Linked DNA regions of Caenorhabditis elegans. The protein of the gene in region 2 purifies or fractionates together with the protein of the main gene of each other region. This does not show direct contact. Each region holds a gene or a part of one and is shown on either strand. Other genes may lie near its edges.

What was found.
Region 1: the proteins of ppat-1 (region 2) and atic-1 fractionate together in Caenorhabditis elegans (co-fractionation; one large-scale study listed by BioGRID). This does not show direct contact.

The regions. Positions count from the first base shown.
Region 1 is NC_003282.8:7,880,025-7,885,031, forward strand, and holds the start of atic-1 (Bifunctional purine biosynthesis protein ATIC), read left to right. Parts: upstream 1-2,003; 5' UTR 2,004-2,042; coding exon 2,043-2,064; intron 2,065-2,334; coding exon 2,335-2,582; intron 2,583-3,812; coding exon 3,813-3,924; intron 3,925-5,007. Other genes in the region: srt-73 (Serpentine Receptor, class T), read left to right, coding at 38-145, 236-346, 648-844, 896-1,010.
Region 2 is NC_003281.10:4,687,540-4,692,984, forward strand, and holds ppat-1 (Amidophosphoribosyltransferase), read left to right. Parts: upstream 1-1,740; 5' UTR 1,741-1,805; coding exon 1,806-1,894; intron 1,895-2,094; exon of another isoform or gene 2,095-2,232; intron 2,233-2,518; coding exon 2,519-2,924; intron 2,925-2,970; coding exon 2,971-3,231; intron 3,232-3,466; coding exon 3,467-3,776; intron 3,777-3,824; coding exon 3,825-3,940; intron 3,941-4,235; coding exon 4,236-4,400; intron 4,401-4,444; coding exon 4,445-4,540; 3' UTR 4,541-4,632; downstream 4,633-5,445. Other genes in the region: tag-243 (Costars domain-containing protein), read right to left, coding at 642-671; nifk-1 (RRM domain-containing protein), read right to left, coding at 4,690-4,779, 4,824-5,339, 5,388-5,445.

The DNA.
Region 1 (5,007 bases), on a different chromosome or scaffold from region 2:
AACATGATTTATCTTTTTTTCAATTCCGTCCTTTCAGATATATTTCACTATAGTTCTAATTGTATGGTGTATAGTTTGTTTTTTAAATGCTTTTGGATTCAGTAGAATGGTTTATTTATTACCTGCTTACACGTGGCACTATGCCGTGAGTACAACTGTGAGAAGTCCCACTTTATGTTTGGCGAAAGCTTCGCATATTGCCAAATGATAGTCAACTTTTCAATTTTATTTCCAGGCTTCAAATCCATTATCAGCTGTATTAAGGTCTGTAAGTGCTGATATATCTTTAATAGATGTCGTATTCTCATTATTTGCTCATTTGGTTATCTTCAGTTATATTTATTTTGTGAGTAAAACATACATATAATTTCGTTTCAAAGAAAATTGAAGAAAAAAACTTATCGAAAACTGTTTCTACAGTATTTCATGCAAAAAACTTTCAAGTACAATATCATCTACAGCTACCCCATGATTTTCGAATTAAATTTTCAATTCGTCAAATCTCAAAACGTTTTAGGTATATGAAAAAAATTTCACAGTAGTCGCAAACAAAGGGCAGATATTTGTATTAAGAATGTTTTGAAACTTTTCATTTCCCTTCAGAAGAGCTAATGTTTCATTATTTTTCAACATTTGTTGATTTTCAGAAAGCAGCATTATTGTCAAAGAAAGAATTAATATTGACAATTCAAGTATTATGTGTTTCTATATTTCATGTTATTGGGTATTTGACATGGGAATATCTACCAATTCCATGGGAATTACCAATTGGAGTGTTCATTGGACATGTTGTATGGATGATTTGGAATTCAATCAATTCAATGCTTTATGTATTAATTAATCCGTAAGTTTTAGAACTTTGGTTGACTGAAAACATTTTTAAAAAAAGTTGCAGTCGTATTCGTAACCTGGTATTAGCATCAATTGGAAAACAAACAGAAGTCAGTGGACGTACAATGTTTGTTGCTTCGCACGTATCAACAGTTCGACAATCCGGAGCTAAAATGTAGTCAGGTCTTCAAATAAAATATAACTTTTAGTTTTTAGAATTTAAGAAATAGAAAGATATCATTAGAAAAAATAATTATGTCTAGAAATAAAAACAATTTATTTCTTGTCATCGATTTCCAAACATTTATTTATAGGTCCATGAAATCTAGACACAGAAATCTTTTTACATGAAGCCTAATTTACTGCTAACAACTGAAATGAGAGGAAACAGATCCTCTCGATATTTTCAATTTTAAGGAATATTCTGCAAGTATAGGTGGACAGAGTAAAAAAGCTTTTGTCAAAGTAAAACATTGATAAACTGATAACACACAGAAACAAATAAAAACCGTCGTAAAACAGAGACACCATCACTTCATAATAAAAATGTTTGTGTTTTGTTATCAAGGGAAACTACCGATTGAATTTTTTTTTGAAATTTTGAAGATTTTCTGGCAAATCGAGAAAAAAAAATTAATGTACGTATATCTCCAATTCGAAGCTTTGATTTTATTATAAGAACAGAGAAACATTAGATTTTTATTGGTTTTTGAAACACCAACACAGATTTCAAAGTTATATAATATTTGCGATATTTAAAATCGATTTCAAAGTTCTTTTTATTTTCTACTTCTGATTTTTTTTCGATTATTAATTCTTTCATCTACAAGCAATAAAAACACAATAATATTTGCCTCGTTATCAAATTTATCTTATCAATTGAAAAATTGAGCAACACTGTTCAATTTGACCAGTCTAAAAGACATTTTTCATTGAAAAAGTTGCCAATTTCTGAGTGTATTTTTCCAAAAATGTTCAAGATTTCAAAGTTCACAAAATAATACTTATAAATGCATAAACTCATGCTCTCCTCATCCATCGTTTTCCTGTGATTATCTCAAAAGTTTCTATTTTTAGTGTTTTTTGGTTCCTTGTTCATTTTTTATTTTGTGTGATTTTTACGTCTCGAATAAAAAATATTAAACAAAATGTTAGAAATTGAATTTTACAAGACTATCGACTTGATACAATACATCGACGAATTGTGTGAAATGACCGACGGAAAATCACTTGGTAAGTAATTTCATTTTGAATTTTTTTAAATTAATTTTTCAAGCAATCCCGGAATAAATATAATTCATTTCTATTCTTTAAAATTATTTATTGAACTAGACATTCCACCAGGTCGAGGCGTTACGGGGGCACCTCTTCCCCGCCTCTAACCTCACCCACCTCGCTCCTTGATTTGGAAAACCCTTTTTTGTGTATTTAACAAATGAAAACTACTACAATAATGAACTAAAATAAACTGCAAGTATAAAGCTAAACATTTTTAATTTTCAGCCATTATATCGGTCTCTGACAAGACAGGACTTATTCCTCTTGCTCATGGACTTGTATCTGCTGGCTTAACACTTATTGCGTCCGGTGGAACAGCGAAAGCGATCAGAGATCAAGGAATTGATGTTCATGATGTGGCAGATGTAACAAAGTTTCCTGAGATGCTTGGTGGAAGAGTTAAAACTCTGCATCCTGCCGTTCATGGAGGAATCTTGGCAAGAGATACGGAAAGTGATCGAAAGGATCTAGAGGTGAGATAGCTTATTTTCTTTTTTTTTTGAATTTTTTTTATTTGTAAACTAACTTGTTTGTTGTCGAACCGTTTTCAACTGAAACTTGCAAATTATATTAAGTGGAAATAAATAAATTTGCAACATTTGTGCAAAACAATTCTGACAAAAGATCGGATTTTGTAGAACTTCCGGGAATCTCACAAAATGAACTTTGTACTGGCTTGAAAGATTTCACCATTACTTAGTTTAATCGAATTCATGATTGAATAGAATGAAGTGAAGAAAAAAAACCAAAAAAAGAAGGGCTAACGGGTGACAAAAAGTTGGTCCTTTCGTCAGATGAAGAAGGCTTATCTCGTGAAAATAAAGAGTTGAGAAGGAGACAAAAAGAAGATTAGAAGACAATTTTTCGTCCTCTTTTTCTTCATTTTGTCGTCACGACTTCATTCAAATTTCAATTCTTATTTCGAATTATATAATTTTTTTTTAAATAAACATTATATCTCGCTTTTGTTTAAAAAAAAAGTTAGTCTAATCTGAAACTTTGACAATTGTTTGTTAATTTTTTGAAGTTGGATTACAATTTTTTGGAAAACGGGTTAGAGAGTTTTTTCGGATTTTTTTGAATCAATTTTTTGTTACTTGCGCATTTCGCAACCTATGTCTTGCCTCTTGTTGGGATTAAAGTGCCAGCCCTGATGGCTAGAACACTTTGAGACAAAGTTGAGATATGTCACCTTTAAAATTAAATTATTAATTAGAAACCGAAAAAAAATTTCATAAAGTTAGCGTTCAGTTGAACGGAGAACGGCAAAATATTAGTCAAAAAACTTTGTTTGCCGGAAAATTGTATTACAGTCATATTGCATTTCAGGATAAACATTGAATCTCTGAGATAATCAAAAAATAATACTCCAGGAACATTATATTATTTGAAATTCTATTGTGTATTTTTAGAAATATTTTATCAATTCAGAGTGAAAATAAGATTTTTGTGAGATAATCTGTAAACCTTCAACTTTCGTCATCAACCATAGAGTAAAATTAAACTTGGAACATCCATAAAAATTGGCGTAAAAATCAACGAACACAACTGATTGGGGTGTTGTTATGATGCACCGAGAGCAAGCCTACGTGTCAGTTTCTACCGCCCGTGTCTATTCAATTACCTTCTCTTTCTATTTTCAATTGAATTTGTTTCATCTTCTTTTCCTTCCTTGTATTTTTTGGTTATTTTCTTTCTTCCAGAAACACAACATTTCATTCGTCTCAGTGGTGGTTTGCAACTTGTATCCATTCAAAAAAACTGTTCAATCCAAGGATTGCTCTGTAGAAGAAGCTGTTGAGAACATTGACATTGGTTCGTTTATTTCTTTCTTTTTTTGAGTTTATTCATCCGGAAAATTGACTTTGTTTTATGTTGCCATCTTTCTTTTTCCCCTTGTTCCTTTTGATTTCAATTTATGCACTTGACTTATTTTGCTCCTTTCGTGACTTCTAACCCTAAACCAAACATCAACATTTTTTCACAGGAACAGCTTAAATTGAAATCAGAAAATCATTTTAGCAGAACTTCATAACCAAAACATACGGCCTAGATTAAAAAGTTGAATTTTTTCAAATTTAAAGTGTTCATCCTGTTTTTAAATAAGTTACCAAATATTATAGTTCATTGGAATAGCATATAATTTTAAGGGGTGTAATTCTACTTCAAGCTAATAATTCAATCAAGTTAAAACGGATGTTCGTCAATGAAATAGACCATTCTTGCATTTTCAAAGACTTACAATGTTCAATTGAAAATAATTTAAACATTATCAAAATATATTTTTTGTATAAAAAATAATATTTCGGTCGCCTTCCATTATTATGATAGGGGGAAAATTGTCACTTTTGGATGAAAATAAAAATTCAAGATTTTTGATAAGTTTTACTATGTTATGTAATTCGTCATTTTAGCATTAGTGAATGATTTAATAATTGGCAATATTATCACATACAATACTATGATCAAGTAGTTTTATTTGAGCTAATTGAAATATCAATTTCGTGAAATTGGGCACGTTCAGGTTCTGAAAAATCGTTCTCTACTTATCACTGTGAAAACATGTATGTATTGTTCTTCTCCCTTCCTAAATCCTTTCTGACACCAAAACAATTATATTTTCTTCTTGTTCGTCTTTTTTAGTTCCTCAAAATATAAATTCAATTAACACGGAAGCTGGAGAATTCACAAAAAAAGACAATACAACCAACAAAAAACTGAGAAAATAATAATTCGTTTACACTTTCATTCTATACTTCCTCTCAATAAGTTCATATAATCTGTGATCATCTTCAGAAAATTCTTTCAGAAACATTTAAAGGAGCAAATCTTACGAATGCATCATTTCGTAAAGCTTGAGCTCTAGTTTTTGGTATCATTGAAATTTCCATATTATAA
Region 2 (5,445 bases):
ATTTTCTAAAAAAAAATGAATGAATTTTATACGACCTATGAGTTTTTATGAGTTTTGGAACGACTCCCAGACTTTGTTAGGCACGTTTGTATTTCAATGAACTTGTTCTTAAAAAATTTATTACGCGCATCTAGTCTGAAACTATGTGCACACCAGTAGGCCAGTAGGCAGATATCGGGTTGAAAACAGCGAGGAAGGCTGTCGGGTGAACTTGTCCGCCTGATTTGGACTACTTTTTTTTTAAAGCAGAGCTAGAGAAATTATAATAAAATTCAAGAAAAATGTATAGACCTAACAAATGGGAAATCAAGCGTCGGAAAAATTTAAGAAACCACTATTGATGAAACCCATAGCAAAGATTTTTGCGGCAAGGAAGCATAGAATTTAAAAAAAAATTTAAAAACTACTTCTAAACTAGAATACTTTTCCCATTAATATGAGTGGTTGAATCTTGATTAAATATGTGACATATAAGTCACCACAAAATTGAGCAAATACTCAAAACTACTTAATAGTTTTGTGAGTCACTTTTATAAACGTTCAAAACTTTCTTCAAAAATAATTTTCAAGTTCACCTATGTACCTTTAATATTTTCTAATTTACAAAAATCTAAACGAATATAAAAATGGATTAAACTTACATTTTGTTCTTCCACTGATTGACTTGGCATTTTCTTGAGCAACTTCTTTTTTCAGTAAAACAAATTTCAGATATGTGTGCTTAACTTTCAAAAGATATATCCTTGACTGTCTCCTTATTTTTTGAGCAATTTTGATAAGTTTAGCCAAAAAGTAAGTGGGCGCTCATTTTCGCGACAATCTTTGCTGTCTGCGTCTCTTCGTCTCACGTGCAATTTCGCTGTTCAAATATAAAACAATGCACACACATACAGAAAGGCTATTTTTGACAGGGAGCTCAAGTAAAATGGAGAAAAGCGAAGTTGTTCGGAAATTTTTTGAAATTCAAAAACCTAATGTCAACTTGTAAATACAACTGGGTGGTCAATGTTCAATAACAAACAGAGGGATATTTTGATTTTTGAATTGTGTTGGAATTTCAAAGAACGAAAACCATTTTACCAATTCAGATATTAACAGGAAAGTATGTAAAGAATATTTTCGAAGTCCATATTGACAGTTGATAACTGTTGACGTGGGTGAACCTGACCAAGCACATACATCCGCAAAGTTGGGACGGACGGGCTCTACGGAGTCCAAGTGACAACAATATCTACTTTCTAGACACAACATGACACTCTAAAAAAATCTGCTCAAATAAATTGAAGTTGGCAGAAAAAAAAAAATTTTACAGAAAAATGTTGTCAGAAAGTTGCAAAAGTTTGATAACATACTCACAAACCTTTTTCAAACAGGAATTTCATTAGATTCAGTATTACATTTTAAAATTAAACTCTCCAGATTTCCATGCATCTGCTGCGAAAGTAAATTACAGATTCTGAAAGCCGAAGATTTTAGCTCTCGCGCCAGGTTAAGTTTTATTTCATTCACATCTTATAGTTATCGTATTCCCGAGCAACGTGTTTATTTTCAATTAAACCTAAAAACTCCTTTTAAAATCAAACTTCAATTAGACATTCACTTGTTCTTATCAGCGGAAAAAGTTCAAAAACCTGGCTCTATCGACAGAAGTGAACTTTTCCATGAAAAATAGGCAATAACTTTAAAAACATAGCAGGTGGAGGGTGTAAAGGTTTTATGATTGGCGTATCAAACATTCAGAGCATCGAAAAAGATAATAACATGCACATTAGGCAATTGATTTCTGACGACGATCACACCGAACAATGTGTGGTATATTTGGGATTGTTGCCGCTGGAAATTATGAGCATTTGAATGTTCTTGCTGCAAATGGATTGGCTGCTCTTCAACACAGGTGGGGTTTTAAGTTTAAATTTTTAATAAGCTCTGTCTCAAAAAGTTTGATTTCATACATCTCCTACATTGGTTTCAGTTTGAATTTTTAACTGTTCAGCTCCTCATTCCTAAATATCTAATTTTTCAAAAAGCTCTCGTTTTCTCTTCCCGTTCATTCCGCTTCTGCTTAACTTAAGCCATCGTTCCACAAGAAGGCAAAAGTGTAAACTCCCTAATTGTATCCGAGCCAGTTTAGTCTGACTAGACGTCAATGGAGAAGTTATCAATTTTGCGTCAGAAATACGCTGAATCGCCAACATTAGAATCACGTTGCCAATTGGATGAAAATGACGCGTATGTAGAGATTGAACTGGCGTCTCGTGGGTCACAGCAAACAGCGCTAACCACTCGGACACACGACCAATAAAGTGCTTGTAGCGTTGCAGTGGTTGACATTGTTGCAAACAAGTAGATTGTGCAGTGATTTTGAGTTTGCAAAAAATCGAAATAGCTAAATGAATAAGTCTAGCATTTCTTGCAAATATTGTCTAGTTTCTAAATTGTTTTCCGTGCGTGATAGAAAAATAAAATACTAAAACAAATTAGTTGCAAATTTGCAATTCTTATCATGTATATTTTGCAGAGGAACTGAATCAACAGGACTCGTTGGTTCAGATGGAATCACTCGAGACCACGTGGAAATTATCAAAGGTCATGGACTTGTCCGAGATGTGATTACTGAAGATAATATCTCAAGAATGAATGGGCAATCGATAATAATTGGTCATAATAGGTATTCAACTGCAGGAAAGAAGAAGTCTGGAATCAATTGTGTACAACCATTTGTGGTATATACTGCAATGGGTACTGTAGCAATTGCTCATAATGGAGAATTGGTTGATGCGAAACAAAAAAGAAAGGAAGTACTTCATGAAGGTGTTGGTTTATCAACTGACACTGACTCAGAGCTTATTGCTCAAATGATTGCAAAAGCGATTGCTCTGAATGTAAAATGCAAGTATGGACAAGAGATGGGTGATATTACAAGAGTGAGTTTTTGAAAAACATGAAAATTCTTAAACCAAAAAACTTCAGGAGCTCGCAGTAACAATGTCTGCACTAAACATGTCATATTCTCTACTAGTAATGACATTTGATAGACTATACGCAATTCGTGATCCATTTGGAAATCGTCCACTTTGTGTTGGTACTGTATATTCTAAAAATGGAAATCCAGAAGCATTCATTGCATCTTCTGAATCTTGTGCATTTCCTGCAAATGCTAAATTAGATTTCGAAGTGAGACCAGGAGAAATTGTGGAATTATCGACAGGAGGAATCAAGTCGGTGTGGCAGGTAAACTTACATATATCTTGGCCTGCCTACGCGCCTACCTACCGCCTTCTCTGACCTCATTTTCTCATGTATGTATTTTGTTAGACATTAAAATTTAAAAAAGTGTTTTTAAAGTTTTGCAAATACATGTAGTTTTTAGACTTTCTGGTTATTTTTGGTATTTTCCAAAATTACAATCGAGACAGATGGGCTATGCTGAAAAATCAGAAACCTGGAATTATATGAGTCATTTCAGATGAAACCGAATACTCCTCTGGCTATGTGCATATTCGAATATGTCTATTTTGCACGAAATGATTCAGAAATTGAAGGACAACAAGTACAAACTGTTCGTGAAGAATGTGGAAAAACGATGGCTCTTGAAGATGATCTAGAAGCAGATATTGTTGGAAATGTTCCAGATTCTTCGCTGAGTGCAGCAATTGGATACGCTTCTCAGTCTGGAATCACATATGAACCTGTTTTACACAGAAATTCATATGTTGGAAGATCATTTATAGAACCAAATGATGAGATGAGACAAAATGCGATTAAAATGAAATTTGGTAAAATAAAGAAAACTATTTAGAAAGACTTCATGAATTCTATTTCAGGAGTATTGAAGAAAAAGATTCATGGACAAAGGATTGTGTTAGTAGATGATTCAATTGTACGTGGAAATACGATGAGAACTTTGGTAAAAATGTTAAGAGATGCTGGAGCAAAAGAGGTATTACCCTTGTTGTTAAAAATAATGATTTTTCACCTTATAAACCGTGAAAAAGGTCTTGACACGAGCAAAAATTTTCAGCTACCGTATAACGCGAGTAATTCTCCGTTTTTGCAGATTTTTCCAATACATATATTTGTTGTAAAACTGTGCATCTAGATGTTCAGCAAATATTAAGAAAACAATAGCGGAATACATAAAAACGAGAAACTGGAGTATACGGTAGAGTACGGTATCTTAGAAATTTCGATCGTGTCAAGACCGCATTATTCAAATAATACCTCTAAATTTAAAGGTTCATCTACGAATTGCTTCCCCGCCTGTAAAATTCCCATGTTTTATGGGAATCAACATTCCAACCACAAAGGAATTGATTGCTGCCGAAAAAACAATTCCAGAAATCTGCCAATTTGTTGGAGCCGATTCAGTACGGTATCTTTCGGTTGACGGTTTAGTTTCGGTGAGTTTGAACCTCACTTTCTCCTCAATTTAATTTTTTTTCAGTCTGTTCAAAAAGGAATCGAACGAGCTGCCAACTTCTCTCCAGGACATTGCACCGCATGTCTCACTGGAAAATATCCAGTTGCTATCGATTTATAATTAGTGTTTGAAAAGTTTGAATAGATTATTTGTATTCATGAAAAACAAAATCAATTCAATTAAAAATCAACAATGAATGTGTATAAAAATAAGAACAACAACAGTTTGCGGAAAAAAAATAAAATGATTAACAACAGAAATCAGGACGCTTACAAGCTCTTCTTCTTTCCACGAGATCTCAATGTTTTCTTTTCGACAGCAGCTGGACGGGCACTTGCAGCGACGGATTTGAGGATTGTCTGGAAAATTAATATAACCAAATTTTATTTAAAGTTTTTCGTACGTTGGATAGCGTAGATTTAGCCTGTGGAGTAGCAGCAGCAGCTGCCTTCTTTCCTGCGCGAGTTTTTGGAGTGAACTGTTTGGGTTCCGGCTTTTCAGTTTTAGGAGTCTTGATGACAACCTTTTTGGTGACTGGAGTGGAAACTTTCGGAGTTGCTTGTTTTGGAGTCACGGCCTTTGGAGTAGCTGCTTTTGGAGTTGCAGCTTTCACAATTTTCGGAGTCGTGCTTTTCGGGGTGACATCACTGATAAATTGAACCTCATTGTCAATGACCTTCTTAAGTGGCGTTCTTGGTGTTCCAGACACAGAGAAATCATAGTTGATCCCCATATTCTGCAGCTTCTTCAAAGTTTTGTTGAGATTTTGCACGCGTTTCTTGGCATTGATGACGTCATTTTTTCCGGTGGTATTGTTTCTGGCAATTGTATCTTTTTTAGCGATGCCCAAGTAAGATGGACGCATCACAAGCAGTGGGCCATGGCGCATTGCCTTCGGGATAAGTTCTGGTTTCATCACCTAAATTTAATAAGTTTTTCAAGGATATAATGGTAGAAGTTGACCTACCGTGCACCCGAGACGTTGCTCGAACATCAAGTAACCGTTCATTGATTCGGCAGCGATT